6 linked regions of the Oryctolagus cuniculus genome follow. The protein of the gene in region 2 purifies or fractionates together with the protein of the main gene of each other region. This does not show direct contact. Links are inferred from orthologs where the notes say so. Each region holds a gene or a part of one and is shown on either strand. Other genes may lie near its edges. The genes, in order: SNU13, NOP56, BRIX1, FBL, EBNA1BP2 and GNL3.

Evidence for each region.
Region 1: the proteins of NOP56 (region 2) and SNU13 fractionate together in Homo sapiens (co-fractionation; 3 studies listed by BioGRID, with this or other methods). This does not show direct contact. The link is inferred for Oryctolagus cuniculus from reciprocal best matches to the Homo sapiens genes NOP56 and SNU13.
Region 3: the proteins of NOP56 (region 2) and BRIX1 purify together in Homo sapiens (affinity purification with mass spectrometry; 3 studies listed by BioGRID and IntAct, with this or other methods). This does not show direct contact. The link is inferred for Oryctolagus cuniculus from reciprocal best matches to the Homo sapiens genes NOP56 and BRIX1.
Region 4: the proteins of NOP56 (region 2) and FBL purify together in Homo sapiens (affinity purification with mass spectrometry; 6 studies listed by BioGRID and IntAct, counting the BioPlex papers as one, with this or other methods). This does not show direct contact. The link is inferred for Oryctolagus cuniculus from reciprocal best matches to the Homo sapiens genes NOP56 and FBL.
Region 5: the proteins of NOP56 (region 2) and EBNA1BP2 purify together in Homo sapiens (affinity purification with mass spectrometry; 4 studies listed by BioGRID and IntAct, with this or other methods). This does not show direct contact. The link is inferred for Oryctolagus cuniculus from reciprocal best matches to the Homo sapiens genes NOP56 and EBNA1BP2.
Region 6: the proteins of NOP56 (region 2) and GNL3 purify together in Homo sapiens (affinity purification with mass spectrometry; 4 studies listed by BioGRID and IntAct, with this or other methods). This does not show direct contact. The link is inferred for Oryctolagus cuniculus from reciprocal best matches to the Homo sapiens genes NOP56 and GNL3.

Annotation. Positions count from the first base shown.
Region 1 is NC_091442.1:117,646,869-117,651,524, forward strand, and holds the start of SNU13 (NHP2-like protein 1), read right to left. Parts: upstream 3,241-4,656; coding exon 3,238-3,240; exon of another isoform or gene 3,116-3,237; intron 3,057-3,115; exon of another isoform or gene 2,928-3,056; coding exon of another isoform or gene 2,925-2,927; intron 1-2,924.
Region 2 is NC_091442.1:28,154,521-28,159,243, reverse strand, and holds the start of NOP56 (nucleolar protein 56), read right to left. Parts: upstream 3,199-4,723; 5' UTR 3,093-3,198; coding exon 3,090-3,092; intron 2,927-3,089; coding exon 2,837-2,926; intron 2,554-2,836; coding exon 2,439-2,553; intron 1,708-2,438; exon of another isoform or gene 1,636-1,707; intron 1,544-1,635; coding exon 1,382-1,543; intron 1,291-1,381; coding exon 1,092-1,290; intron 1,028-1,091; exon of another isoform or gene 893-1,027; intron 764-892; coding exon 576-763; intron 496-575; coding exon 344-495; intron 207-343; coding exon 106-206; intron 44-105; exon of another isoform or gene 1-43. UniProt on the Homo sapiens protein: Involved in the early to middle stages of 60S ribosomal subunit biogenesis. Required for the biogenesis of box C/D snoRNAs such U3, U8 and U14 snoRNAs. Part of the small subunit (SSU) processome, first precursor of the small eukaryotic ribosomal subunit.
Region 3 is NC_091445.1:60,577,077-60,581,723, reverse strand, and holds the start of BRIX1 (ribosome biogenesis protein BRX1 homolog), read right to left. Parts: upstream 3,279-4,647; 5' UTR 3,243-3,278; coding exon 3,084-3,242; intron 1,143-3,083; coding exon 1,031-1,142; intron 1-1,030. Other genes in the region: cell cycle checkpoint protein RAD1, read left to right, coding at 4,027-4,224. UniProt on the Homo sapiens protein: Required for biogenesis of the 60S ribosomal subunit.
Region 4 is NC_091449.1:14,150,866-14,154,764, reverse strand, and holds the end of FBL (rRNA 2'-O-methyltransferase fibrillarin), read right to left. Parts: intron 3,245-3,899; coding exon 3,112-3,244; intron 2,152-3,111; coding exon 2,039-2,151; intron 1,147-2,038; coding exon 1,001-1,146; intron 914-1,000; coding exon 889-913; 3' UTR 808-888; downstream 1-807.
Region 5 is NC_091438.1:129,849,046-129,853,693, reverse strand, and holds the start of EBNA1BP2 (probable rRNA-processing protein EBP2), read right to left. Parts: upstream 2,951-4,648; 5' UTR 2,699-2,950; coding exon 2,633-2,698; intron 2,550-2,632; coding exon 2,466-2,549; intron 2,315-2,465; coding exon 2,145-2,314; intron 2,005-2,144; coding exon 1,881-2,004; intron 1,868-1,880; exon of another isoform or gene 1,054-1,867; coding exon 964-1,053; exon of another isoform or gene 737-963; intron 1-736. Other genes in the region: CFAP57 (cilia- and flagella-associated protein 57), read left to right, coding at 3,273-3,429. UniProt on the Homo sapiens protein: Required for the processing of the 27S pre-rRNA.
Region 6 is NC_091441.1:97,041,308-97,046,191, forward strand, and holds the start of GNL3 (guanine nucleotide-binding protein-like 3), read right to left. Parts: upstream 3,217-4,884; 5' UTR 3,090-3,216; coding exon 3,077-3,089; intron 2,532-3,076; coding exon 2,473-2,531; intron 2,050-2,472; coding exon 1,912-2,049; intron 1,798-1,911; coding exon 1,684-1,797; intron 1,480-1,683; coding exon 1,396-1,479; intron 792-1,395; coding exon 659-791; intron 619-658; exon of another isoform or gene 542-618; intron 1-541. UniProt on the Homo sapiens protein: May be required to maintain the proliferative capacity of stem cells. Stabilizes MDM2 by preventing its ubiquitination, and hence proteasomal degradation.

The sequences.
Region 1 (4,656 bases), about 89 Mb from region 2:
GCACTCGCATGGAAAATCCAGAGGAAGCTCCTGGCTTTGGATCAGCTCAGCTCTGGCCATTGCAGTCATTTGGGGAGTGAACCAGCAGATGGAAGACCTCTTTCTCTCTGCCTCTCTGTAACCCCGCCTTTCAAATAAATAAAACATCTTAAAAAAAAAAAAGTTTATGAAAAGTAGAATTAAAAAGATAAGCTTAGCAAAAATTTCTGAGATCCATACATACGGTTTTTTCATAATATGCTTCTTCTTTTTAAAACAATTTTTTAAAAAAAGATTTCATTTATTTCAAAGAGTTACAGAGAGAGAGCTAGAGCCAGAGACAGACAGAGGTCTTCCATCTGCTGGTTCAATTTCCAAATGGCCACGATAGCTAGAGCTGGGGGCTGATCTGAAGCCAGTTTCCGGGTCTCCCACACAGGTGCAGGGGCCGAAGCAGTTGGGTGTCTTCTACTGCTTTCCCAGGCCAGAGCAGAGCTGGATCTGAAGTGGAGCAGCGAGAACTCAAACCAGCGCCCATACAGGATGCGAGCTTTAACCCACTGTGCCATAGCCCCAGTCCCACATTCTGATTTTTCTTAAGATTGATTTATTTAATCTGAAAGGCAGAGCTACAGAGAGAGACAGAAATCTATTTGCTAGTTCACTCCCCAGATGGCCACCATGGATGGAGCTGGGCCAGGCTGAAGCCAGGAGTTTCCTCTGGGTTTCCCAGGTAGGTGCAGGAGCCCAAGCGCTTGGGCCATTTTCCACTGCTTTTCCCAGGCCATTAGCAGGGAGCTAGATCAGAAGTGGAACAGCTGGGATTTGAACCAGTGCCCATATGGGATTCTAGCATTGCAGGTGGTGGCTTTACCTGCTATACCACAGCGCCAGCCCTGAAAAGTCTGAATTCCCAGGTGCTTGAGATCTGGCTGTTGTGGCCATTTGAAAAGTGAGCCAGTGGATGAAAGATCTCTGTCACTCTGCTCTTCAAATAAATTAATTAAAAAAAAGCAAACTTCTCATGACTTAACAACAAAAAGATTAATTAAACAAAACAAAAATGGAGTCACCCATACTATATGGGCACTGGTTTGAGTCCTAGCTGCTCCACTTCAGATCCAGCTCCCTGTTGATATGCTTGGGAAAGCAGCAAAAGATAGCCTCGTGCTTGGGCCCATGTCACCCGTGGGAGACCTGAACAGTTTCTGGCTCTTGGCTATGGCCTGGTCCAACCTTGGCCATCGTGGCCATTTGGGGAATGAACCAGCAGATGAAGATCAATCCCTTTCTGTAACTCTTTCAATTAAGTAAATAAATCTTTGGGAAAATTTTCATTTATTTCAGAGGCAGAGAGTGTGAGTGCTCCCATTTGCTGGCTCACTCCCTAAATGAGAGCTCAATGCAGGTCTTCCACGTGGACTGCTGCCTCCCAGCGTCTGCATTAACAGGAGGCTGGAAACACCGCCAAGAGGTGGGCAATGAACCCAGGCGCTCCAACGCGGGATGCGGGCATCTCAGGCGTCAGGATAGCGCCTGCCACTCCATCCTCTCATTTTCTATTCCTTCTGTGGTTACCTGAGAAGTCAACGTGCCCGTAACTTATCAGATGCTCAGCACACCACCCTCTTCCCAATGAGGGAGTCAGCACTTCAGATCCAGTCACTCCTCGCTGAGTACTTCCACTCTGCAAACCAGGGTTCTCAACTCTCCATAGACATCAAATGCACGAAGAGGACGACTTCAGAACCCACGACAAAAACCTTCACCTTCTACCATCAGTCAACAGAAACGATGGGACTCTAAAACCAAGTTGCCCAGCTTACAAACACGAATGCAAACTTGCCAACGTGTAAGGGGTAAATGAGCCAGCCAATTTAAATCCCTACACCAGACAGCCAAAACCGACCACGTTTTGATTCAACAAACACAGCCACGCCCCATAACATTTGAGTTTCTCGTCAACGATCAACCTCATACACCTGTGTGGTCCCATAAAACCGTCATGGAGCTGGAAAACGCCCACAGCCTGGTGGTCCTGTAGCCATGGCAACTCTGCAGCCATCCAAGGCGGGGGATTTGTGGTGACGCTGACGCGGGAAACCCCTGGTAACAAGTGACCACTTTCTATTTACTATTACTGTAGAGGGATCTGCTTCCACCTGGGCGACGTGGAGCAACTGACCTGAACCATCTAGTCTGCGCAGGGACTGGCACAGCAGGCGGCCAGCAGCGCAGTTCCCAGGACCCGCGCGGCCGGTGCTCGCTCTCCCTGCCCGGCTTCGGGGCTACCTGTTCACAGTGCGCTCAGTCCCGATCGGACCCTCGCGTCCACAGGCACGGTCCTCCCACTGTACAGTTAGGTAAGCTGCGGAGTTCAACCCGAGATCACTCGATCCCAAACCTGCCTCAGATGAGCCCTGGCTCCGACACACGAGCTTCAAAACGACGGGCGGGAGGGGGAGGCAGCCCCCCAGGGATCCGAGCTCCCGTGGAATGACTGAACCCCACTATGGACTCCACTTCCTCACCAAGGGCCGACCCGAGCCCGCCACACCACCGCCACGACCCGGACTCTCCCTAAGCGATTAGTAAGAAAAGCTGCCGACAGCCAGGGGCTCAGAGGAGCTGCACGCGGTGGCTCGAGGTTGGCAGCCTGAACCTCTCCCGCGCCCCAGGTCACTCCACACTCCCCACCGCCCCCAGACGCCAGGGGCCCCGTTAATCCCCGGCACACGTGACCCGCGGCCCGCTCTGGGCGCGGACCCAAGGGAGAACTCCGTCTCCGGAGCCCCCAGCACTGGGAAAGGGGCGGGCTGGGTAGAAGACGGTGATCCAGAGTCCAGGCGGCTAAGCCATGCCCTAGAGATCGTAAAAGATAAGGAAAAAGAGAAAGGAAAAAAGAAGGGAGCCATTTAAAAAAAAAAAAAAAAACAACTTTCTACCATCGCCCACGTGGGCTGCTCCTTCCCAGGCTCTGCCCCTTCCGGGCTCACCGAGGCCTCCGGCCAGGGGAACGGACAGCTGCAAACACCGCCGACACAGCGGGCGGCCCTGAGCTTCCCGAGTTCTAACGTGGGGCCGGGGCTGCCGGGACCCTGCGGCTGCCCGGGCTCCAACCCCGGGCCGAGCGGCCGAGCCCGAGCCGGAGCCCGGCGGCCGAGCCCGCGCACTTCCCGACCTCCCGGCAGGACGGCGAGCGAGCCGAAACCCCGGGGTGCCCAGCTCCCGGCCCGCAGGCCCGGCGCACGCACTCACCATGGCTGCGGCTCCGCGGGCTCGCCACTCGCGACGAACAACCGCCGACGTCAAAGAAGAAGCCGGAAACTGCCCAGAAAATAAGCCGGAAGTGGCGCCCACGCGCGGCAGGAAGCGGAAGTGGCGTCACACGAGCGGGCGGAAGCGGAAGTGGCGTCACACGGGCGAGCGGACCTCGGCCACGAGGGGGCGCCGTCGCGGAGGCGGCCTCCCGCTTGTGAGGCACCCTATGCTTGTTGTTTTTATTAGCGTTTTATAAATTTTGGGCACAAAGTGAGTTAATCATCGAAAAGAAAGGGCGACAGAGGTTTTACTACTCCAGCGCCAGCTCACTTTCGGGCACATTCTTGCGCTTGTCTTTCTGACCCTACCCTGGTGAGGAGAGATAAATTACAGGCAATTTATTTTTATTTTTTATTTATTTATTTGAAAGTCCGAGTTACACAGAGAGAGGAGAGGGAGAGGCCTTCCACTCGCTGGTTCACTCCGCAGGTGGCCACAACAGCTGGAGCTGTGCTGATCCGAAGCCAGGAGCCAGGAGCTTCTCTGGGTCTCCCACGGGGGTGCAGGGGCCCAGGGATTAGGCCATCTTCCACTGCTGTCCCAGGCCACAGCAGAGAGCGGGAGGGGAAGTGGAGCAGCTGGGTCTTGAACCCGTGCCCATACGGGATGCTGGCGCTTCAGGCCAGGGTGTTAACCTGCTGTGCCACAGCGTAGGCCCCACAGGCAATTTCAGATGTTCTTCCTCATCACATCTCTTGTCAGCGTCCCTGATGGAGGCTGAATTAGAATCCATTAAATGAGGAATCAGGAGGAAGAGCAGATTTGGGGTAAGGGAGTAGGAGTTGAGTTTCTGTCAGGTTGAGTGTGAAATATCTTAGGACACCTACTTTTTTTTTTTTTCTTTTTCTTTTTTGACAGAGTTAGACAGAGAGAGAGAGACAGAGAGAAAGGTCTTCCTTTTCTGTTGGTTCAGTCCCCAAATGGCCGCTACGGCCGGTGCGCTGTGGCTGGTGCACTGCGCCAATCTGAAGCCAGGAGCCAGGTGCCTCCTCCTGGTCTCCCATGCAGGTGCAGGGCCCAAGCACTTGGGCCATCCTCCACTGCACTCCCGGGCCACAGCAGAGAGCTGGACTGGAAGAGGAGCAACCGGGACTAGAACCTGGCACCCCAACTGGACTAGAACCCGGGGTGCCGGCGCCGCAGGCGGAGGATTAGCCAAGTGAGCCACAGCACTGGCCAGGACACCTACTTTCTAATAGCCAGAACCTCACTCTTTTCTCAATTCTTCCCCAAATCTCCATTATTTATGGCTGAACTCATGCCTCACCACCCCCAAGACAGCCTCCTCGATTCTCATGGCCCTTCCTCATGCCTCTCCAACATGATGCCGTGCACATCAGGAGACCACTTGGATCC
Region 2 (4,723 bases):
GCCTGCACAGGTCAGGGAGCCCTGGTCAGCCATCACTGTGATCCCCAAACAAGCAGTGGGCACCAGAAGTGGCACCTGAGTACAGGCAGGTGCCCTCACTGGTACCTGAACAGGGCCTTTTCAGCCCCAAGGATCTGCACTGTGGATGCTGGATACTTGGCCAGGTTGGTGAGACTGCCAGCATGAGCAATGAGACGGGCACCTACCTGGAGAAAGGTTCAAGGAACAAGTCAGAGACCAGCTGGACTTGCTCCCCGTCTCCCCCTGGTGGCCAGCAGCGAGCAGTGCAGGATGACGCATCCCCTCAGCACGACCCCCACCCCTCCTGTTCCCTGTGACATACCGCTTCCCCAATGAGAGCCGACAGACTGGGGGCCACCTGGCTCATCTTGGAGCGCAGGTAAGTGTGTAGGCTCTGGCGGTACTCAGACAATGACACCACACGGCTGGAGAAGCTCTCGATGTTGATCAAGTCGATGGCAGAGATGTCCATGCCTAGAAACACCCCAGTGTGAGTGCAGGTGCCAGCTGCTCGGAGCCCTCCCCCCGTACCAGCTGTGAGGCTCTGTGCTGACCCATGGAGGACCGGGAGGCATCCAGAATGGCCTTGGCCTTGGCGCCATCCATCGTTAGCTCCTCCAGCTTTTCCAGCTTGTCCTCGTTCAGCTCCTTTCGGTTGCCGATGAACTGGGCGAGGCGGCAGTACGTGGCGTTGTCATTGATGATCTTCACCAGCTCCGGAAAGTGATAGCCGTACCACTCCCTGCAGAGACACAGTCCCACCTGGTTCTGGCTCAGCTGCCGCAAGGCCACAAACGCACCCGCCTCAGCCCTCGCCACCCAACTCGGCCTGGAGCAAACAGGGACAAGCCCAATGCCGGTCCCCTCAACGCCTTGTCCCCCCACTCACAATACAGCCCAGGCACGATGAGGCCAGAGCTGAGGTGTACATGGGGAGGGCCTGCTCTGCCTCCTCCTTCTATACAGTCAGTGTAAGAACACAGCCTGTGGTAAGCACCAGGAGGCCCAGCCCACACTCGCCCGACCGGCGTTGCAGAGGCTCGCGGTGAGGGGCGGCCTCTGGCTGTTACCTGACGCGCATGGAGAAAGTGTTGATGTCTTTGTCCAGCTGGTCCAGGAGGCTGATGGACTGGATGATCATGTTGTCCACCCGGTTCACGTTAAACTTCACTTTGGCCCGAGAGTAGCTGTGGCCCAGGCCCAGCTGGGCTTTACACGCAGACACATCGGTCAGCCCCTTCACCAGATTATGGAAATGCAGACGGACTCCTGGGGCAGCCGACACGGGAGCGTGAGCGAGCCAGCTCCGGCACCCCGGGCCCCTCCCAGGAGCGACCTCGTGGCTCTAGCCAAGCCTCACCGCGCAGGATCTCGGCTATCACGCCTCCAGTCTGGCAGCTGTAGCCCAGCTCCTCTTGTATGGCGGCACCAATCTTGGGGTCCCCAACCCCTAAGAGCACTTTCTTCTTCTTGGACGGCAGGTGAGTCTCCAGCAGCAGGCGGAGGTCCTCGTGCACGACACCTCAGGACGAAGAGCAGGGCGCCCACTAAGTGGCTGAGGGCCGAGGGATCCCGCCTCCCCGGGCGTGTGTGGCCCAGCCCTCCCTGCAGGCATTGCTCAGAGACATGGAGACATCAGTGACAGGACTCAGGGGATTGACAGATTATTTTGAGTCATCATTGCAAAGCCTGGCTGAACCACGAGAAACAGGACACAGGCCAACAGCCCAAGTGGGACACACACCTCAACTGCAGGGGACACCCAGTGGATCCCAGACCCCAGATATGTGTGTTTCCCAGACATACCTGGGATAAAGCCCAATTTATGAATAAGGCAATTTAAGACATTAGCTAACGAAGAAACCGTATAGTAACTACAAAAGTCACCAACTGAAATCTCATTAAACCAAGTCTGGACTGGCGTGGGAGGTCCTGCTGTACAGCGCTGTGCAGTGGGCTAAGCCTCCGCCTGCAGCGCCGGCATCCCCTATGGACGCCGGTTCGAGTCCCGGCTGCTCTTCTTTCAATCCAGCTCCCTGTAGATGGCCCAAGTCCTTGGGCCCCATTTGGAGTGAACCAGCGGATGGAAGATCTTTCTTTCGGTCTCTCCCTGTCTATATCTCTACCTCTCAAATAGTATCTCCTATCCCAATTTGCCTTCTGGGACCAACACCCTTGTAATTATCAAAAGTGCCCCTTCCGACAGATTAAAAGACACAGCAGAAAATTAATAAGACAACTAATCGTGTCTAGGCAAACTTGGGCACACGTGCAGGTTAAACCAGCCACCAGAAAAAACACCACTGATCGCTAACTACAATGCTCAAAGAAACCAAAGCCTACATCGTGGGTTGCATGCGTGAAATGCACCTTAATCACAACAAGCCAGCTGACCCCGGGCGGCGACGCCGACTCACCTTCCGACACCGCGTTGGCATTTTCCAAGGCGACCTGGGACGAGGAGAAGGGCGAGAAGGCCACGAGGCGCACGATGTTGTGAAACTTGCCCAGGTTCAGCACGCTCTCCTCCACCTGCCGAGACAATGAATGGCGCGGCCGGCGGCCGACGTCAGCCCCCGGGCGCCAGGAAGACGCACCGGGGCCGGGCTCTGCTCTGGGACGCTCACTTCCAATGGCTCCTACCGCGACCCCGGCCACGCGACGGGCTGAGGACCCCCGCCCCGCAGTCTTCCGGGCCGGCCCCTCCAGCCCGCGCGGCCGGCCACGTGGGAGCGCGCGGTGCATGCCGGGGGCGCGCGACCGAGGGGCTGCAGCGCAGCCGGGCGAGCCCCCCGCGCCCACAGAGACCACCCACCTGCGGCAGCAGCAGGCTGATTTCCTCCACTTCCTTCAGCGCCAGCAGCGCGTAGCCGACCGCGTGCTCGAACAGCACGTGCAGGAGCACCTGGAACGGCAGCCGGGGTGCGGCCGTCAGCTCAGCCCCTGCGTTCTCCCGGCCACACTCCCAGGACACACCGAGGCCCGGGCTCCGGCATTCGAATTCGGATTCGAATCCAGGCCCAGACCACGGCCTCCGCACAAGCCCGCGACCCGCAACCACTCCTCACCATGGCGCCTGCTCCTTGCCCGGCTCGCAATGCGGCTCTCTGGCTCTGGCGCGCAGAACCAGGCTCCAGAGGACACGCCCCCCGTCGGGTCGGCCAATCAGAGGCCGAGGACGGCACTATCTCAGAGCCTTCGCAGGGGGTCCTCTGGGAGTGGTATCGCCCAGAGCGCGAGTCGCGGTGGAGCGGCGCGCGGACGAACCGGCCTTTTCCGGTCTCTGCGGCTGCGCGGGCGGGCGCGGTTGCCCGGGACACGCGGGATCGGTAAGGCCCTGCAGGCCGCAGGCCTGCGTGGAGGGGCGCTTTTTCGGATAATGGTCCGATGGCCCGTATTTTCGTAATTTGTGAAGCGGGGGCAGGAGGATCCCCGTGGGCGCAGAGCCCGTCCCACGCCGCGTGGCTGCCCTCGGCCTCCAGGCCCGCCCGCGCGCCCACGCTCCCGGCGCCCACTCTCGGACAGCGCCCCGAGCTCTGTGGGCTGCGCGCTGTCTCCTCTCCGGGACGCGGGACGCCCTGGCGCCGTCAGCGCCGCGAACGTGGCTCCTCGCAGCCGCATTGCCGAGTTATATGTAACTTAGTTCTAGGGCCGGATGAGTGTCGGTCGGTAGTGTAGGAACGGAGCGACCCGACCCCGAGTCCTCGTGGAGCGGTCTCGCTGGCCCGGGGCCGGCCGGGTGTTGCTCGCGGCCCTGAGGCCCGGGAGCCGCTTCTGGGGGTCTCTGGGCGACGACTCCCCATGCTGCAGCCGCGCTAAGTAATGAACTTAACAAGCCAGGCCTGGCCACCCCGAGGGAGGACGAGCACGCCCTTCCACCTTGGGCTGTTGAGCCGCAACTAGCAGGCGCGTTCACAGCTTTAGTGGACCTCAGCCGTCTGACAAATTCCCCCTTTTGGGGTTCCATGTGGTCAGGACCTCTTAATCATAATAATCTCTGTTGTGCCCCGATCACTAGATCCCCTAGAGAGTCTATCACACCGAAATGCAGATCACCAGAGACCCCCCCCCAGGGAGTGGATCACACCGAAATGCAAAAGCAAGGTTTATTGAATACAAGCCGCGACTGGGACCCCAACCAACCCACCTGCGCAGCCGAGTTAGGAGGGAGGCCCCGGTCTTCGTTTGGGAGAGTTAAAGGAAACACCCACAGGCTTCCATCAGCGGGGGCTTACAGCACGGAGTTGCTCTTAATTGAACGGGGGTCTCCGGTTGGCTTGGGTTCAGGGAGCTACTTTATTTAGCAGTTTCTTCTGAGCTGTCCATTCCAGCTTTGATGTCTGGAATGCCTGAATGCTTTTACAAAGACTCGGGTCTGCTACGGAAACAGAGGCTGCTTTTTTTTATTATTATTATTTTAAAATGGAGTCCCTGGCTCTTCAGTCTCAACATTGCCTGCTGATGTGGTTCAGTTTGCCGCTCATACCGACTGAGGATCGGGAGTCTACCTCAGGGCATTTCACGTTTTAAAACAGAATTGCAAAATCATCTGTTACAGACTTCCCTACGCTGAATGCGCCAAATTAAACGGATGCTTTAATATTAACATATTAGTGCTGTGACATCCGTTTTTCCATTTACCTCATTATTTCCAAACTTCAAACTAACTCTTCCTGGGGTTACAGGTGCTTATCCACTAAGG
Region 3 (4,647 bases), on a different chromosome or scaffold from region 2:
TCAAAAATGGAAAAATTCTCATAGAACTGTTCAAAGAACCAGTTTGGGGAAACAGTCATTAAGAAACTTTTTTAATATACTAAATTTTGAATCAGAGTTGTGGAAGAAAATGGATTTAAAAACTTAGTTATGAATTACAGAAAAAGTGTAAACAAATTCAAATTTCTAGTAGTTTAAAATATCTAAAGATATTCCAGTAATTTCAGTTTGAAAGCACTGATAAAAACACTAAGTTAAATTACAACCAAAGTTCAGCCAATTAAAACCAAAAGCACCTCTTAACACAGGCACAAAATCAATTAAACAATGGTACTGCCTCTATCCAAAATTCAAAACTAGATATTCTTCATTTACTTACAGAAAACTGGTAAAAAAAAAAAAAAATAACTTGGCATAAAACAGATTAAGCCCAACCTAAAGGTGTTTTAAATCCTATTCCAGGATTATGATTTTTTTTTTTTTTTTAATAAAAAAAGATTTTAAAAAAGGTTCAGGCGGGCATTGTGGTACATCAGGCTAAGCCACTGCCTGGGACACCAGCATCCCATATGGGTGGGGCTGCCAGTTAGAGTTCCAGTTTCACCATGTCCAACCCGGCTTTCTTCTAATGTACCCTGAGAAGCAACAGATGATGGCTTGGGTGCTTGGGCCCCTGATGCCCACAGAGACCCAGATGAACTCTGGGCTTCTGGCTTTGGCCTGGCCCAATCTAGACATCGTGGGCATTTGGAGTGCAAACCAGCAGATGGAAGATCTCTTTTTCTGTTGCTTTGTGTTTCAAGTAGATGAAACTAAACATAGAAAAAAGAAAAAAAAAGGCAACACATAGCAGGCTTGAATCCTTTAAAAGGTCAAATAATCCCACTATCTCATGACCTCCAACAGCATTTTTATGAAGGCACCCCTGGATCTTCAGAGGTACTGTGGTTCTTTATCTGACAACACTGTGTAAGTCAATATACATGGAAGTTAAACACACAGAAGCAGTGTTATAGACACAAGTCTTGAAAGCATATAATATCAAAGCTACCTGCTTTAGAATGAGGCATCAGCATTCTCAAGTCCTGCATTAAATGTCTTGTCCTGAAATTTATTCCTCTGGAAGAAAAGATAAGGATCCGTTCCTTGTTTTTCCACTTGCCCTAAAAAAAAGAGCGAGTGAACTTTTAAAATCTCAAACCTATCTTGTCTCTTAGTATTGTTTAAGAAGCTATTTGACTTCCTTCTCCCAACCCTAAAGGCTTTCTTACTCTCTTTTTAATATTTCTGTTCTCTCCATCGCAGAGCGCTTCTATCTAGACAGCTTCAATCATCAATTCTACAGGAGAGTAAGGAACTCTTTCCAGCCAGAAAAATCTACAGTCACCCCCAGCACCCTCAGAGGATTAGTTCCAGTCCCCTCTTCCTCCAATTTCTGATGTAAAATGGCAAGAGTATGTGCACTTCCTGTAGACTTTAAATCACCTTTAGATTAGTTATAATCCCCAATGAAATGTAAATGCTTCAGAAACAGTTGTTATACTGTATTGTTTAGGGAATAACAAGGAATAAAAGCCTGTACGTGCTGAGTTCAGAGGCAGTGTTTACTTCAGACTGAGGTTGCTGAATCTTCCACTGGTGCTTATTTTCCATTTCATCAGCACAAATAAATGCTACCAACTTCTCTTTGCAGTAATTCTTATTCCTTTCTTGTCCACACTGACCTTACTTAGGTCCTTATAACTTTGAATCAACTGCAAATTTCTTCAATGGCCCCTCTTCCTAGACAGGAGCTCCTGTAACTGACACAGCCAACCGCAGCAGCTAAAGCTTTATTAAGCACAGCTTCACTCACCCTACCTCCCATGGTTTCTAAACAAGTCCAAAAATAAGGCAGCTTTAATACTGGACTCTAAAATGGGCTAAACCACGTTTTCATCTTTCCAGAACCGCTGCTCCACAACAACTCCAGGCTTAGGCCAATCTCTCTCTACCCTTCTTTCAAGAAAAACAGATTTTCAGGCTCTTACCCACTTCAACACCTTTAATCAACTCTTTCAGCTTTCCCTCGGACTACTCCCTCTCATTCCGGACCAAAATTCTCCCCTTCCCTTTGAAACCCAGCTCAAAGGCTAAGTTCTCCATGATTCCTTCTCATCTTAGGGTAAAAACGATCTCACTCTCTCGCATTGCCACCGACGGCACCACGGCGTGACTTAGATATGACCGCACTTCTTCCTAGCTCCTTAAAGGAGGAGGGAGAGCATTCCCATTTACTGACGATCTAGAGGCCCAGTTTACTCCTCCCCAAAAGTATCTCGCTCCTCTTAATCTGCAGATGAGAAACCAGCACCAAACGTCACCGACACCGACTACCGGCTAGGCTACCACTAAGCACGGGGGACACAGAAGTTAACGTCCCCAGGGTCCGTCTTTGCTTAGGGAATTCTCTCGGCTGAAGGCTAACTCCGAAACCTGTGCTCATCTTCTGGACCACCACCATCAGCTCCTGCACATTCTTGGTTTTCTCCTGACCGCCAGCATCTCCGGGGGAAGAGGTCCCACGCTGGTCGGCCTTGCAATCCCTCAAGCCAGAGGAAGCCTAACTGGACAGTCGCACACGGCTCCTTAGAAGCGTGTTTGGTGAGACAGCTATACGATCTAACGTATTTTTCACTATCCCTTCAGTTCAAGACCCAGATCAAGGCGTCAAAGGCCTCATCCCACGAACAACTTTCCAAAGGTTCCCAAGGCGAGCTTCAGGGTTCCCAAATGACACTGGCCGACCACGGCAGTACAGACCGAAACAACTTCGCAAAAACACACCCTCCAAAAGAGGTAGAAAAGAACAAGGAAAAGCCTATGGAAACACCTGAGCTGAGTTCTCCCCTACGCCGGGTAAGGAGGGTTCCAAAGCCCACCGCCTAAACGAGGACGGCGGCGCGTACGAGTTAGGTGCACACATCATGCACAAACCGTCCAAGAGCACTGCTGGGAACGGGTTCCCCCAACACCCCAGCTACTCCGAAAGGAAGAGAGATTTAGGGAGTCCCGGGGAAGGCGCGTGGAGCCGCCGCCGCCGGCGTAGCGGTAACCGCTTCTACCTTGCACACGGGGCCGGGGATACGGTCTCTGTTTTCTTCCTCCACCTCTTCTGTCGTGACGCCACTCTTTGCCTGCGGCCCGGCATCTCTGTCGTCTTTTTTCGGCTTCTTCGCCTGCACCGGCAACCCTCCACGCCGCTTCCTCTTGGTGGCCGCCATCTTGCCTCGACACCACTACTGGCTTTTCTTCCGGTTCCCCCCACTCCACCGCTCGCTCCACTTCCGGTCTCTATGGTACCGCACGCGCTCCTCTATGGCCCCTCCGTGGCTCTCTGGCGCTTACTTCCGGTCTCGATGATACCGCTCGCTCTCCTCTATGGCTCTTCCGCGACTCTCTGGCGCTTACTTCCGATCTCGGTGGTGCCGCCGTGCGACTCTCTAGGCCTCCTCCAGCTCTGTGGTGACGGTGGCCGAAGCGGAGAGCTGGTCTGAAGATAGTGGCGGGAGCTGAGCCGCCCGCTCCGTGGTATTCCGGGAGCTGCAGCTCTCCTGCTCGGTGTCCAGGCTGGGCCGGGCTCTCGGGTGTCTGGCCCCCTCTACAAGGGTAGGATTTCCGGCGCTCGCGATCCCGGCCCTAGGAAGCGGGTGCTGTCCCGCGGGCAGCTGAACTGGTTGTCTCGGACTCTGGGAGAAACTCATAGGACCCGAGCGCCCCCACCCCGGTTGCCTGTCGGGTTGCAAGCCAGGTTGGTGGCGCGAGGTGGCCCGAGCGGATCCGGGGATAAGTGGCGTGACTGGCCCCCTAGTGCACCTCCTTTGTGGGTTGCGTGTTTTCGTTCTAAGCTACTTTCCCCGTGTTACCGTCCGCACTGGGAAGACAAGAATCCCCCGCAGGGTCACAGTTACAGTGGCGCCTCGCCTGGCCCCTTCCACGTTATCTCCGACCCCCGGCAGGTGCTCTGAGATCCTCGGGAGCGGGTGTGGGCCCCAGGTGCCAGGCAGGATGCCGCTGCTCACCCAGCGGATCCAGGACGAGAGTGTCCAGTACAGCCTAGTGGCCAGCCTGGACAACGTCAGGAACCTCTCCACGATCCTGAAAGCCATTCACTTCCGCGAGCACGCCACCTGCTTCGCTACTAAGAATGGAATCCGAGTCACAGTGGAAAATGCGAAGTGTGTGCAAGCCAACGCTTTCATCCAGGTACGCAACGGGCGCCTTCCAGCCCGAGAAAGGTCTCAGTAGACAAGTTAAGTCTGAAAACAGAATGGCGTTTAAGGTGTCTTCTCTCCTGGAAACATTCTTTCCCCATCTTAACAGAGATAATGGTGAATAATGATAATGATTGACGTTTAGAAAGCTAAACCCTAGGCTAGCCAGTCCTCTAGGTGTTCGGCTCATCTGATCCTCACGGTAGCCCCACACCTTCTGTTGCTCCCGTTTTACGTATGTGCAAACAGTTAATCGATTTGCCAGCAGTCCCAACAGTTGAGATAAGAACCCCAAATGTTTGTTTCCAGACTATATGCTCTTTAGTAGCTATTTCCCTTTTAGAAAAATGCTTTTCCTTCTTTTGGCTGTAATAGAGTCTTACACGGAAATATTTGTATGGTTCAGAAAAGATTT
Region 4 (3,899 bases), on a different chromosome or scaffold from region 2:
CATTGGCCACTGCTACCAAGAGCTCAACCAATCCCAGCCTGGGGCAGCTGTTGCTAGGCAACGACGATGCGGCCGGCGGAGCCGAGCCCAAACAAAGGGCGGGAGTGGGGCCCGATTACCCCCTCCCAGCCTTCCTCCCAAGACGGCTCCCCTGGCCCGGCCTTTTCCAGGAATCGGACTATGAATAGGCAAGCGCAGCCCGCACCTGCCGGAACCTCGCTCCCCTCCTCTCTTCTCCTCCCTCGGCCTCGTGCTAAGTCTCGAAGCTACGCGGGCAGGGCGGATCCCATCCCGTCTTTCCCCCCAGCAGCGCGTGCTGCCCCGGCTGTCCCCGTGTTGTTACCTGAGGGCGCGGGCAAGGGGACTCAAAGTGCTCGGGCGGCCCGAGCTCAGATCTGCCCACTGGCTGAGGGTATCCGGCAGACACGGCCAGCCAGGGCCCTGATTACCCAGTAATGCAACCAGCAAAATGGCGACCACAACAAACCGCCCCCCCAACCCGCCCCAGGCTCCGCCCCTACCCCAGTCCGCCCCCTCACGTGACCCAGGGTAATACTCCGCGCATGCGCCCTTCCTGTGCTCACCCGCAAGCATGCGCAGTGAACTACCAATCCCGCCCGAGTAGCCGAATCCCCGTTCTGCCCGGGGGGGGGGGGGGGGGGGGGGGGGGCAGCGCGGAACAGAGCATGCGCTGTGGGGCGGACTGACCCTCCCGCCTCCCTCCCCTGCCCGCCACACAAAGTTGACCAAGGGCGCATGCACCCTGCTGTCCACCGCGGTCACGGCGCAATCAGCGGCAGACAGGGACCACGGAGAAGTCATTTTAATAGAAAAACACAGGAGCCACGGCACAACACGCATCTCTCGACATCCACACAGCACTGAACTTTAGCTCTTCACCTTGGGCGGCGGCCTGTGAGCAGATGGGGACAAGGGCGGGGTTACAGCTGGCCACCACTCGGGGGTCCGGGGGCCCCAGGACCGCCGGGCGCCGGCTCACCTGTACACGCCCACGACCACAGCGTGGTCCCTCTCGTACGGCTCCAGCGTGAGCTGCTCCTGGGGCTTCATGTTCTCCTGCTGCATTTTCTTCACCTCTGAGGCGAACACGGCCTCGGCCGAGGCGGTGGAGTCGATGCAGTTGGCCTGCGGGGAGGAAGGAGCCAGAGCCCGCGTGGTTTGCCTTTGCCTAGCACCGCCAGCGCCGCTAGGGGAAGCCTGGTTCATTAAGCAGCCTCAGGCCCAGGCCCGGCAGGAAGTCCTAGCAACCTCCTGTCACCTAAAGCTAGTTTCCCGGGCACAGGCAACAAAATGCCAGCAAGTGGCGAAGCTGGTGGCGGCTACGCGCGTTCTAATTGCAAAGTAAATGGTTCTGAAAAATGCACCTAGCGTCTGTGCAGTATCTCTTCTAAGCCCTCCATGTAGACTGAGTTGATCCTTACATCAACCCTGAGATAGGGCCAAAACGTGTATTTCACAAGACAGAGGCACACAGGTTAAGCAGCTTGCTTGAAGTTGCACAGCACAGCACGCTGGAAAACAGACCCAGCGGCCGTGCCCTTGGCCACCACGCCGCCTTGGCTCTGGACGCCACGCTTTGGGTTCTACAGGTATTCTATGCTGTGCTATCTGACCGGGGGCAGGGGAGGCTTGTGAGGAGCTGGGATAGACTGGCCAAGGCCCGCCTGCCTTTAAAAGGTTTTTAATCAACTAATTTGAGAGGCAGAGACAAAGAGAGATCGCCTATGCAACCAGAGAGGTGCTATTTGCTGGTTCCCTCCCCAAATGCTGGGAGTGGCCAGGAACCGAGGCTGAAGCCTGGGACTCAGTCCAGATCCTCCACCTGGGCGGCAGAAGTCCACTCATTTGAGCGATCACAGCAGGGGCTCAAACCCAGGTTCTCTGATATGGTGCACATGGGCATCTAACCACTAGGCTAAACACCACCCCAGTCCCCTTGTTTTGACTGGCTGCTTGGCAGAGAAAACACCTCCCTGGGACGCTGCCAGCCCACCTTCGACTCCCCCAAGCCTGGTACCTTAATGGAAATCACAAAGTGTCCTCCATTCCGCAGGAAGGTGTGGGCATTGAGAGCCACAATCCGGGTCTGGTCTGGCTGCGCCACATCAGCAAAGATCACGTCCACCATTGCTACGGGGAAAGGGCTGCCAGTCAAAGCTGGACCCACCCAAGAGCTCAGCTCCTCCCGGGGGGCCTGCGCACCATCAGCAGGCCCTGGAAGGTCTCCCTCCCCCCACACTGACCCCCTCCCTCCACAGCACCCCGAGATGGGCTCAGAATCCAGTCACGCATCATTCCTTCACTCTCAGAACCATGGCTGCCCCCTCCCTGTGGCCAGCCCTGGGCCAGACGTGGGGGACGCAGACGACTCAGACCCGGGCGTGGGGGACACAGAGACCAGTCAGACCCGGGGGCAGGGGTTGATGGACGTGTCATCAAGACGAGAGAGGGTGATCACTCATGGGCAAGCGCGCCTGCAGCACAGGGCAGTGGGAAGCGTGCCCAGGGAAAAGCTTGGAGTAGAGGGAAAGGCAGTCTGTAAGGTGTGATTTTAAAAAAGAAACAAAATAGACGATGATGTGACCTAATGAAAACTGAGCTTCAGAACTGGAAAGGGCAGGGGCTGCTCGTTCCGATCAGTTACCTCCAGGGTGGTTTTAGAGGGCGCCGCCCCTGTGAGCCCGTGTTACACCTGCTTTAGAATTTTTTTAAAACAACAGCTGTCCCATTCACAAGAGGCCCCCCAGGCCAGGCTCTGCCCAGTGTGTGCTGGCTGGGCGAGGATCTCACCAGGTGCCGACAAGGACCCTGAAGGAGGCTTTCCTGGCAAGCCAGGGCAGTGGGGAAAGGGCCATGGTTTGGGGAGGCTACAGGGGCCCTGAGGAAGGGGAGATTAGAGCAGAGGAGGGGGCCCCGTGGCCAGGTCGCCGCCTCTGCAGCCTCGCCTGCCTCCCGCTGCCCCTCTCACTCCTGTAGACTCATGAGGCCTGCGCATCGACTCGAATTCCATCCGGAGCCAGGCTCTGCCGGCCCAACCCGGAAACCTGGAGGCCTGTCCCACCCAGCTGGGCCGGCGTCCAGACGGCTCACCGATGAGCATGCGGTATTTGTGCGGGTGCCGGGCGTCTTCTATCACGGGGATAATGTTGGTCCTCTTCTTGGCCAAGTTAATGAGGTCACGGCCAGAGCGGTGGGAGAACTCAACTGCGTAGACCAGCCCATCCTAGAGGAAGTCATGTGACCGTCAGCAGTGACGCCAGCTCTCAGCACGGACAGCCTGCTCTGGGCCCTGACACGACACACGGCACCTCTTCCAACCCTCAAATCAAAACACGACCACTGGGGCCGGCGCTATGGCGTAGCGGGTGAAGCCGCCATCCCATATGGGCACTGGTTCATGTTCTGGCTGCTCCACTTTCGACCCAGCTCCCTGCTAATGGCCTGGAAAAAGCAGGGGAAGATGGGACAAGTGTCTGGGCCCCTGCCCAAAACCCTCGTGGGAGACCGGGATGAAGCTCCAGGCTTTGGCCTGGCTCAGCTCTGGCTATTGGAACCACTTGGGGAGTGATCAGCAGATGGAAGACCTGTCTCTGTAACTTTTTCAAATATATAAATAAATCCTTAAAAAAAAAAAAAAAAAAAAGCTAAAAAACTCTACCACTTACTGGCAATTGTTACTATGTCTATTTTGCGGATGAAGACATTGAAACGGGTAGACTTGAGGCTACTGGCCAAGGGTCATTCCACCAAACAGCAGGGCTACCTAATCCTGATTTGTTTGGTCTGGGAGCCCAGGCTCCCAACAGCAGCTTAAAAGCAGAGAGCCAAGGCGCAGAGGTCCAGGGGCACACGCCAGGGCCCGGGCACTGCTGTGAGCA
Region 5 (4,648 bases), on a different chromosome or scaffold from region 2:
CATTTGGGGAGTGAACCAGCAGATGGGAAATCTTTCTCTCTCTCTCTCTCTCTCTCTCTCTCTCTCTGTAACTCTGAATTCCAGATAAAGAAATTTTAAAAAAGATTTTCTTTGCTTTGACAAATTACAATGTGTTAAACTGACTGCTGGGATCTTTGCAATGATCTCAGCCTTTCACCTCCAGATCAGAGAAACAACAAACCTTTTACAGGGGACAAGATTCTAGTCTACTCTGTGCTGAAAACTATCAGGGAAGTGACCCCAATTGTGGAAACGTCCACGCCTCATCACAGTGTTCATGTCCAAAACACCAACAAAGTTCCAAGATTCATGCTGATCTTCCTCATGCTCATTTCTTCCTGCAATCCTCACTTAACTCCTGTGTTCTTTAGGAGCCCATAAAATAAAAAAGGAAAACCAAGCACGCTCTGATGGTGTGCTTGATCTGGTTTTATGTTAGAACTCAGGATGACATTAGAATGTCATTCACACAAATGCTATTTTTTGTCTCTCAGACTGGGTAACAGTATTATTCCTTCAAGAACTTGACAATCGTCTAGGCCTATCAATCACAAAGATACAGATCAGCATCACCTGGTAAGTTTTTGGGGGAATGAGAGAAACATACACACAAATTCCCAGAGTCTGAAGCCCAGAAACAAAATTCCCCCGGGGCGTTTTGCTGTGAGGTCAGGTTGGACACCACTGATCTGACCCCCAACTCTTTCCTCCATAGATGTGGAAGCTTTAGCCCAGAGGGTGAAGGAGAGGTTCATGTGCTGTCACAGAGTCCTGGGCCTGCCCTGGGGCTGAGGTAAGACTGTGCTCACAAATACGAGCACACACACGCCACCATGACACAGGAAGCCCATGATCAAGCATGCAGGGCATGGAACTCGATCAGACCACAGCCATCGGACCTGACAAACACCCCGCCTCGCCCTGTCCCCATGTATCTCTCACCTTCTTCCCGTATTTCCGAAGCGCTCGCAGCTGCTTGGCCTTCTCAGACTTCTCCATGGCAGCCTGTTTAGTCTGCAGCTTCAGTCGAATCTAAAACAAAAAACGTTGTCAGTTTATGTGTGTGAAAGTGGGGTGACCACTAAGGAAGCCGAGCAACAGGAAACACGTTCCCAGTTCTGCCAACTGCAGAACATGTAAATCACCTATTCCAACGGAGCGCTTTCTGGACAAGCACTTAGTGTGCAAGGTTCCAAAGAGTGTCAGCGGTGGAACTCCAGCCTGGAAGTTACCTTCTCGTCAATGCCATTTACTCCAGCACACAGTCTACTTGCAGCCCAAGAAAGAACACCAGCATTCTCTACCGTCTGCAGACTGAGGGTAAACAGCGAGCAGCCTCCGTGCCCTTCTCTAACACCACCTACAGGATAAAGTCTCCAGCAGACAAAGAAGGTGCCTGGCCTCTTCCATCAACCGCACACATTCCATATGAATGTACAGATGTGTCTGGCTTACAAGAGCTCCTAAAATCCAGCATGAAGCCCAAAGAACTATTTCAGTTTACCTTGGATTAGATGTTAGCAATTCTCTCCCTCCCAAAGTTAAGTGAGAACCAAGTTCTACCAAACTTAAGTTTCACAGAAGAGAAAACAGGCCCAGAGAAAAGTCATCATCTGTGACAGCACTCCTCACTGGTAATGGCAAGACAAGAGATGTGCTGTCTTCTATACACAGCACGTCATGGCCATTCCAGGAAATGCAAAAGGCCCTCTTTACCTTGGGGACCACACTTCTTACAGTCCTTTTCCCAAATGCCAGTCTTGCATTTATCTAATTGGTGGTGACTGGCATGACTGGAAGTAAACAATCTGTAGAACAGATAAAGCCTTGGCTTTCCAGAGACAAACTTCCCTGTCTACCTTTTGCATCTGCTGATCAGACTTGGCCATTTCGGCAAAGTAGTCGGTGGGCCTCTTGGTAGGGACTTTGAGCTGGTGGAGGCGGGGTAACACGGCGAGCACTGCAGCCTGGGCCTGGCGGTAGCTGAGATGGAAGACAAAGTGAGACAGGGGCGGTGGGGCCTGCCATTCCCTCTCCCTGCCTCTGCGTCTGACTCCCTTCCCCTCTCCCTGAGGCTCCAGCACAAGGCCCCCCGCCCCTCCCCCACTTGAAAACAAACATACAAACTCATCTCCCGCTGGAAGTCGTCTTCCGGATTCAGGGCTCCTTGGTCCTTGCTCGGAGGCGCTGGCTGCGGTCCGGGGGCTTCCGGCACCGGACCCAGGGTCACGTCGAGCCTCTCCACCCACTCCAGGTCCCGCTTGAATTCGGCCAAACACTGTTTCAGGCCATTCTAGGAAATTCAGCCACTGAAGTCGTCAGGAGGGAAGCCTGAAGTCGTCCCTCCCCAGGCCGGCGGACAGGGCGCTGAGCCCCGACACCCCGGCAGGCGCGACTCGGCCCCACGCACAGCGCCAGTGCCCCCGGGCCGGCTCTGGACTCACCACGTTGTTGACGGCCTTCTTCGGCCCCTCCAGCACGACATTGAGGCCTGGCTTCAGGAGCCCCTGGGAAAACGCATCCTGCAACTGCAGGACACAGCCGCGGTCAGCACCAGCCGGGCAAGGCGCCGGCTCCGGCTCCCAGCCCCGCGAGCTCGGCCGACACTTACCTCCCGGTCCGTGACCAGGGACTCGTCAGAATCCGAGTCCGACCCCGAGAGCGGGGGGGTGTCCATCCCGCAGCACGCACGCCTAAGGCGGGCCGAAGAAGCGGGATGTTCGAGGCCCCCGCGGCTGGCCGAGGGCCACGCGCGTCCCTGCCGCTGCCGCTGAGGGCGTCACCCGCTCCTCTCACACCGCAGCTCCACGTGGGCTCGAAGGGCCGGAGCGCCCACAACTCTCGAACTCTCGGCTCGGGCTTTTTTTTTTTTTTTTTTTTTTTTTTTTTTTTTTTTTTTCTTTGATCGGCACTTCCTGTTCCGGTCGCTGGCTCATACTTCCGGTACGTCGTTGCTATAGGAACGGCTCCGCGTTCGGAAGGGCCTGAGTTGCGTGCGATCAGTCGGGGGTAAGACTTCTGGAGAGGCACGTGGTCTGGTGACCCAGAGAGAAGCGCCAGGTGGGAGGGGGTACCTGGATCGTGGGGAGAAGTTGGAAAACGCGAGGGAGCGAAGGAAACGGGAAGAGGAGCGGGGTGGCGGGGAAGCGCGAGGGGAGAGCAGGGTCCGGGGCGGGCGGGGGCGGGTCCGGGGCGGGGCGTTCCCCGTCTCACCTGTGCGCTCGGTCCCCGCAGCGCTCTGACCCGGGACCATGTCCTCCGTGGTAGCCCAGTCGCTGCATGTGTTTGGACTTCGAGCTCACGTAGCCAACAATATCTTCTTCTTCGACGAGCAGACCGTTATGTTTCCTTCAGGAAATCACTGTGTGAAGTACAATGTGGATCAGAAATGGCAAAAATTCATTCCAGGTAAAAACCCTTTCCATCCAGACCCACGCGTTAAAAGTAAGTGCCACGTGTCGTCCGAGAGCCCCAGCACGATGCCCGGAAGGACCTTTTTTGGCCAACTTGAATGTGCATACTGTTTTATGAATGTGGCGGGCATGAATGTTGGCTTGCATTCCCGGTTAAAATCGCACATAAAATAGTGTTCCTTTAAAAGTACTTTTTTCACTGTAATTTCATTAAAAGAATTACTTTGATGAATCTGTTCGTGCATTTTCAGTATCATTTTTACCATGACCAGAGCACTCTCTGAGCTCTCTAGCCCAGTTTCCCAGAGTATACCACCTTCTATACAGCACCCTTTGAATCCATGTGTGTTTAAAATACTGGAAATCTCATCCTGTTTGTGTAATGTTACAGCATTTGATTTTGATTGCATTGTCCCTGCGGGTGGTAGTCATGATTTCTTTAATCATTTTTCCCTACTCTGTTATCTTCAGCACTTGGTACTGTGTCATACATACACAAAAAAGAACAGCTACATATATATATTTATATATATATATAATATATATAAACAATGACAGTAAAACGGAGATGTATGAACTCAGGATGGGAAGCAGAACATTGCCAGTTCCAGTTCTCCCCAATTCCTTCTCTACCCGCCCCCCCACACAGGCACATCCCATCTTGGATTTTGTAATAATTCCATTTTTTCAATATAGTTTTACCAAATATATGTAACCTTATACAAGATATATATTTTTTTTGCCATTTTCCAGTTTTATATAAATGAAATCATATTCTGTGACTTGCTACTTTCATTCAGTGCTATGCTTTTGAGATTTGTGTATCTTTTTTTTTAAGAGTTATTTATTTGAAAGACAGAGTTACAAGAGAGAGGAAGAGACACAGAGAGAGTTAGAGACAGAGAGAGAGAGATCTTCATCTGCAAGTTCACTCCTCAAATGGTGGCATTGGCCAGAGCTGGGCCAAGCAGAAACCAGGAACCAGGAGTTTCTTGCAGGCCTCCCACGTGGGTGCCGGAGCCCAGACACTCGGGCTGTCCTCTGCTGCAGGTGGCACAATGCCAGCCCTGGGATTTGTGCATCTTGATATATTTAACTGAGTTCATTTTACTTTCATATAATGCTCCATCATATGAGAATAATGCCTTAAATATATTCATCATCCATTCTAATACTGGAAGACTTTTGTCAAATCATTTTTGTCATCACGAACC
Region 6 (4,884 bases), on a different chromosome or scaffold from region 2:
GAATTAGGGGTATGAATTTGGTCATGTGAGTGAGATGACTGCAGAATTTGGCAGAGTTGAGCTTTCACTTGGTTGCCCTTCCCCAGCTTCTTCAGAAGGGACAGAAGCGCCCACCGCGCTGCCCATGACTCACAGCGCCCAGTCTCTACAACCGTGTGCTTCAGGTCTCCCCGCACTGCTCGTTCTGGGACTGAGGCAGAGGTCTGGGTTCCAACCCTACCAACCCTAGAGCAGCGTTTCCAGCATTGACCCCAGCCAGCAGCCATTTTTCTCTCCCACTTTGTTTCACACCATCTCTGTTCTGCTGTACGTAATTCTGTTTCATTCAAATGGTTTGTCGAATACGTTCCATATTATCTCAGTTGAAAACTAATAGTTGTGCAGGTGGGGGAATTTGGCACTGTCATCCCTTTCTGTATGACAGCTACACTGCACGATAAGCAGAGCACAGAAGCGGATATTCTTAAACTAAACAAGGTGGTAGTAACGAACAGCCAAAGTCCACGGAAAGCCCACTGCCCAGCCACAGGACACTTGCTCTGGTTTTGCTGAGGTCAGAGTTGGATCTTACCAGTCTTCAACAACAATCAGACTGTTCAGATATTTTCCTCATACCTCAGTAATGCAATGGGAGAGGAAGGACAGCCCCTGTGCTCACCTGACTTATTTAACACGAGCACCAGCCTCTTCTGTTGGCTCTGGACAATGGCCTCTTCGACCTGAGGACACCTGCACCCGAGAGGATCCCTGGCGTCCAGCACCTCCAGCACGACGTCCGAGGCAGCGATCACCTGTCCGGGCAGAACAGCCCCAACTGCAGCCCTTGCCTTGGGAACCCGTACCATCCACTGGGCGATATGGTGAGCTCAGAGTTGGATCTCATGTCTTCACTTTGGTATGAAGAATACTGACATGCTCATCATTTCTCACCCAGAAGTAAAACCAATAGTCTTGCTCAGCAGCGTGGATTTCACAAGCAGAAATACCCTCTACTGTTTGCTGCTCTCATTTCTGTAGGGAATCCTGTCGTCTGGCCAACCCTTTTGACCTCACCAGGAGTTACTGAGAGGCAGAGTCACCTGGAGGGGAATGACCCTGGGGAAATGGGTGTAGGGAGGAGAGCCCGGGGAGCAACTACACCAAAAAGACACCACCACCTTTCTCCATTTCCATCACTTAAGCTTCAACAGAGTACTTTAGAGACCGGCATTTTCACACTGCTTACCTCAAACTTAAAACCACTGTCAACACACTGCTGTCAGCTAAACATAACAAGGCCTTAGGTAGTGAACTTGACTGCTGCTTTGTCTTTTAACCTCTTCACCACTTTTAGGCACTGACCTAGACTCAGATACCTTTTTTAGTATATGTGCTGCCGAAGCACGACTCAGATACCTTTTTAAGCTCCTGACAATGTAACTTCTTTGGATTCTGCTTGCGGGACTTGGCTTTGTTTTTGGCTGCGCATTGTCCAAGTGCCTAGAAAACAGAGAAGGGGGAAAAGACATAAAAACCAGCAGTGCAGCAGCTGTAATCTGTACCTGTATCCGCACAGCCGACTGAGGCGCTGCAGGTGATATTGTGTAAGACAGAATCGGAATCACTCCTCTTCCTCGAGGCTCACCAGCCCCTGCCCCTGTACATGCTTTTAGTTCTGCATCAGAACTCATCTATCACTCTCACCTCCTTGCCAGGTTCCCCGTCAGACGGCCTAGCACCAGGGTTGCTTCCAAGTTTTCTTTTCTTCTCCTGCTCCTTCTGCCTGTCAAGTTTCTGCTGCTGTTTTAGTTCTTCCAGCTGTGTCCAACACATCAGACAGGTTAAGCCAGTGACTGCTGGCAACAGCTCCCTCTGAAAAAAAATGCACCCACCCCTCCGCAGTTACTCCAAGTTTGGGCTACCGCAGCTTACCCGCTGTTTCCTTAGTTCAGCTTCCCGCAGAACGGCCTCCTTGAAGGGAGCACTGTTTGGAACTCCTGGGTCTTTCCTTGGCTTCTTGCGACCTTGTTTTTTAGCTTCTTTTCTCAATTTTCGGTGGTGTTCTCGAATCTATGATGACAAGACATTTAATCAGTTTACAAAAAATACCTTTCTACTTTAACACAATTCAAGTAAGAGACCAATATGCATACAACCTAGTCATGCCTGTAAATGCCCCAAGAAAAACGGATCTTTAATGGGAGTCACAGACAGCAAAATATATACTTAAAAAAACAGCAACAGAACGACACTAGGAGGCTCTCCTTGCAGAGATGACTACGTGGAAGTTCCCAGGCTTCCGTACACCAAACACTGCGCCCTCCCAAAGCTGCACTCCTGATCACTGAGAGCTTGTGCTGTGCTTGGTCAGTCCATCCTGTTCCACCTCCCGAAGACTCCATCTTTACTCCAGACTTCTCGATGAGGGAGAGCCAGGGCATTAGTCGGCTTAACAGCCTTTTTCAGTACAGCTCTCCCAAGCGCAACACTTACCTTTTTCTGGATTTTATACCGCTTGTGACAGGTCATACGTTTACTTGCTTTCTTTAACTCTACAAAGAAACACATAACACACGGCCTGGTTTAGTTTTCCGTGAGTGAACTAGAGTCACACCCTTGTGTATTATGTCAAATCTAACGTTAAGAATCATGTGGGGCGCTGAATAAAAACACAGATGCTACTCTCAAATCCCAGATCCGGAACGGAGCCCCAAATCCCTGCTGTTTCCGTGTTAGACGGAAATCACATAGAGCAGTATACGAGTCCCAAAACGACTGCCACTTCGTGTAAGCTCCACGGATCATAAAGCAGGAGAGCAACAGTGGGTTTGGGAAGCGGCTCCCCGGCTCAGCGAGCCCGCCCGCACGCGGCCTGCCACCTGGCTCGGTCGCGGTCTCCTGACAATATGGCGTGATCTTCTCCACCCTCGGCCCGGGCTTAACAGGATGGACACGAGGCCGCCCAACGCTCGGTTATACCGGGAGCAGGGCAACGGCCCACCAGCAGGCCCCAACCTCCCAGAGACCAACGCCCTGGTGCGTTCAGGAACCACCAGAAAAAGAGGCGCCTGCAAGCCCGTTTGCCGATCCCACTCACTGGGCCGCTTCATGCTGGCTGCGGAAACCGCGGCGGCAGAGAACGAAGCAGCAGCAACCTTCCTCGGCGAGCGCCACGTGTGAACTGAGGCCACGAACCAGCGTCACGCAGTCACGTTACCGTCGTAAAGCGCGCCTTCTCTCCTCCGCGTGCGCGCGCACGCAGTGTCGCGCGGAGCCAGGCTCGCTTGGCGGCAGCAAGGCTGGTTTTGCGGCGGCTCTGGGAGGGGTGAGGGCGGTGAGGGCGGCGGGTGCCGGAGCGACGGCAGCGGCCGCGGCCGGAGGAGCAATAGCAGCAGCCGTGGCGGCCACGGGGCGTGGCGTGGCGGTCGGCGACCGCGGCCGGGGCTGCAGACGGCGGAGCGGCTGGGTAAGACCGGGCCCGGGGCGGGCGGGGCCGCTCCCCTTCGGCCGGCCGCCGGGCCTTTGTGTGGGCCCGGGCGGGCGGGCGGGAGCCGCGGCGGAGGCCCCGCCCCGGCCGTGGGGACGCGCCGGTCGGGCCGGGCGCGCGGGCGGGGCGGGGCGCGGCGGCGGGCCTCGGGACGGGCCCCGCAGCCTCGCCGCACCTGCCGGCCGGGACAAAGGCGCGTTGCGGCCCGGAAACTCCGCGCGCCGCTTTCCCGCTCGTCGCCCGGCAGCTTCAAAGCTGTCAACGTTTCCCTTAGTCCCCTACCAGTGACAGGTCGGCCAGGTCCTCCGTTTGCGCCGCCGCTTAGGGCCTGTTTTTGTTGTTGTTTGTTGAGGGCTCAACAGCAAACTCTGCTTAGGAGACGCGTTTTATCTTTCTGGGCGACGGTTCAGACCGAGTATTTTTGTGACTGCGACTTGTATTTGAGAGTAGGGGCTAAACATCAAGTGTTTCAGCTTCTCATTCGCTGCACTACAAAGAATCGCGGTTTGAAAACAGCCTGTTGTTGTTTTTTAAACAATATTTTTCCATCAAAGTTTTTTACGTTCTGAAAGGGAAGCATAGTTTGGTTATTAGAAGGAATAAGAGTCGATGTGCAGAGGAACAAAGAGCGGCAAAGACAGGGAAGAATCCTGGAAAACCAATGGCAAATACGCGGTGGAGTGGCATATGCTGGAGTAAAACGTGTTCCTTTCCTCCACACTGGGACTCCAAATGGTTTTCGGTCTTGGAGTTTTTCCATTCGTTACTGCGCTTTCCCCCGAATCTGGGAAGCAGGCTGTACTCAATGCCAGTATAAAAGAATAGTAAATCTTTGCTTTTGTTCTTTGTTAGCGAATTGCCCGTCTGGATTTTAAGATCCAGAGTGGAAGGTTGGAAAGTACCTCTTGAAGAGGTGTTTGAGATTAAAACTGAAACAAATATGTGTCTGGAGAAATGGAAGGAGTTTGACCATTTTCTTTGACTTTGGGAGTGTACAAAGCACTTCAAATATTAATATTCTGCCAAAATTCCCTGGATAAATAAATTTTATATCTTTGTGATAGACTGCTCTCAAAACATCAAACATCATGAGGAAGAACGCTAGCTTGGGAGAATCTTCCCTAACTTAAAACAGAGGCCATGAAATAATAATAATAATAATAATAATAATAATAATAATAGAGTTTGTTAACACTTTTGTTTAAAAGAAATTAGGCTATTAAAGCATAGATGAATGCCAAAAGCTCTGAGCACAAAATTTGAGTAGTTTTTCTTTGGGAAGTAGGATTATGGGTGCTATTTTTTTTTTTTTTTAAGTTTTGATTTGAGTCTTAGGTTTCCTGGTATTTTTTCTAAAGCTTGTATGTATTACAGAACTAAATACCATTAAAAAATAGGAAAGTACTAAAAGTTTATAG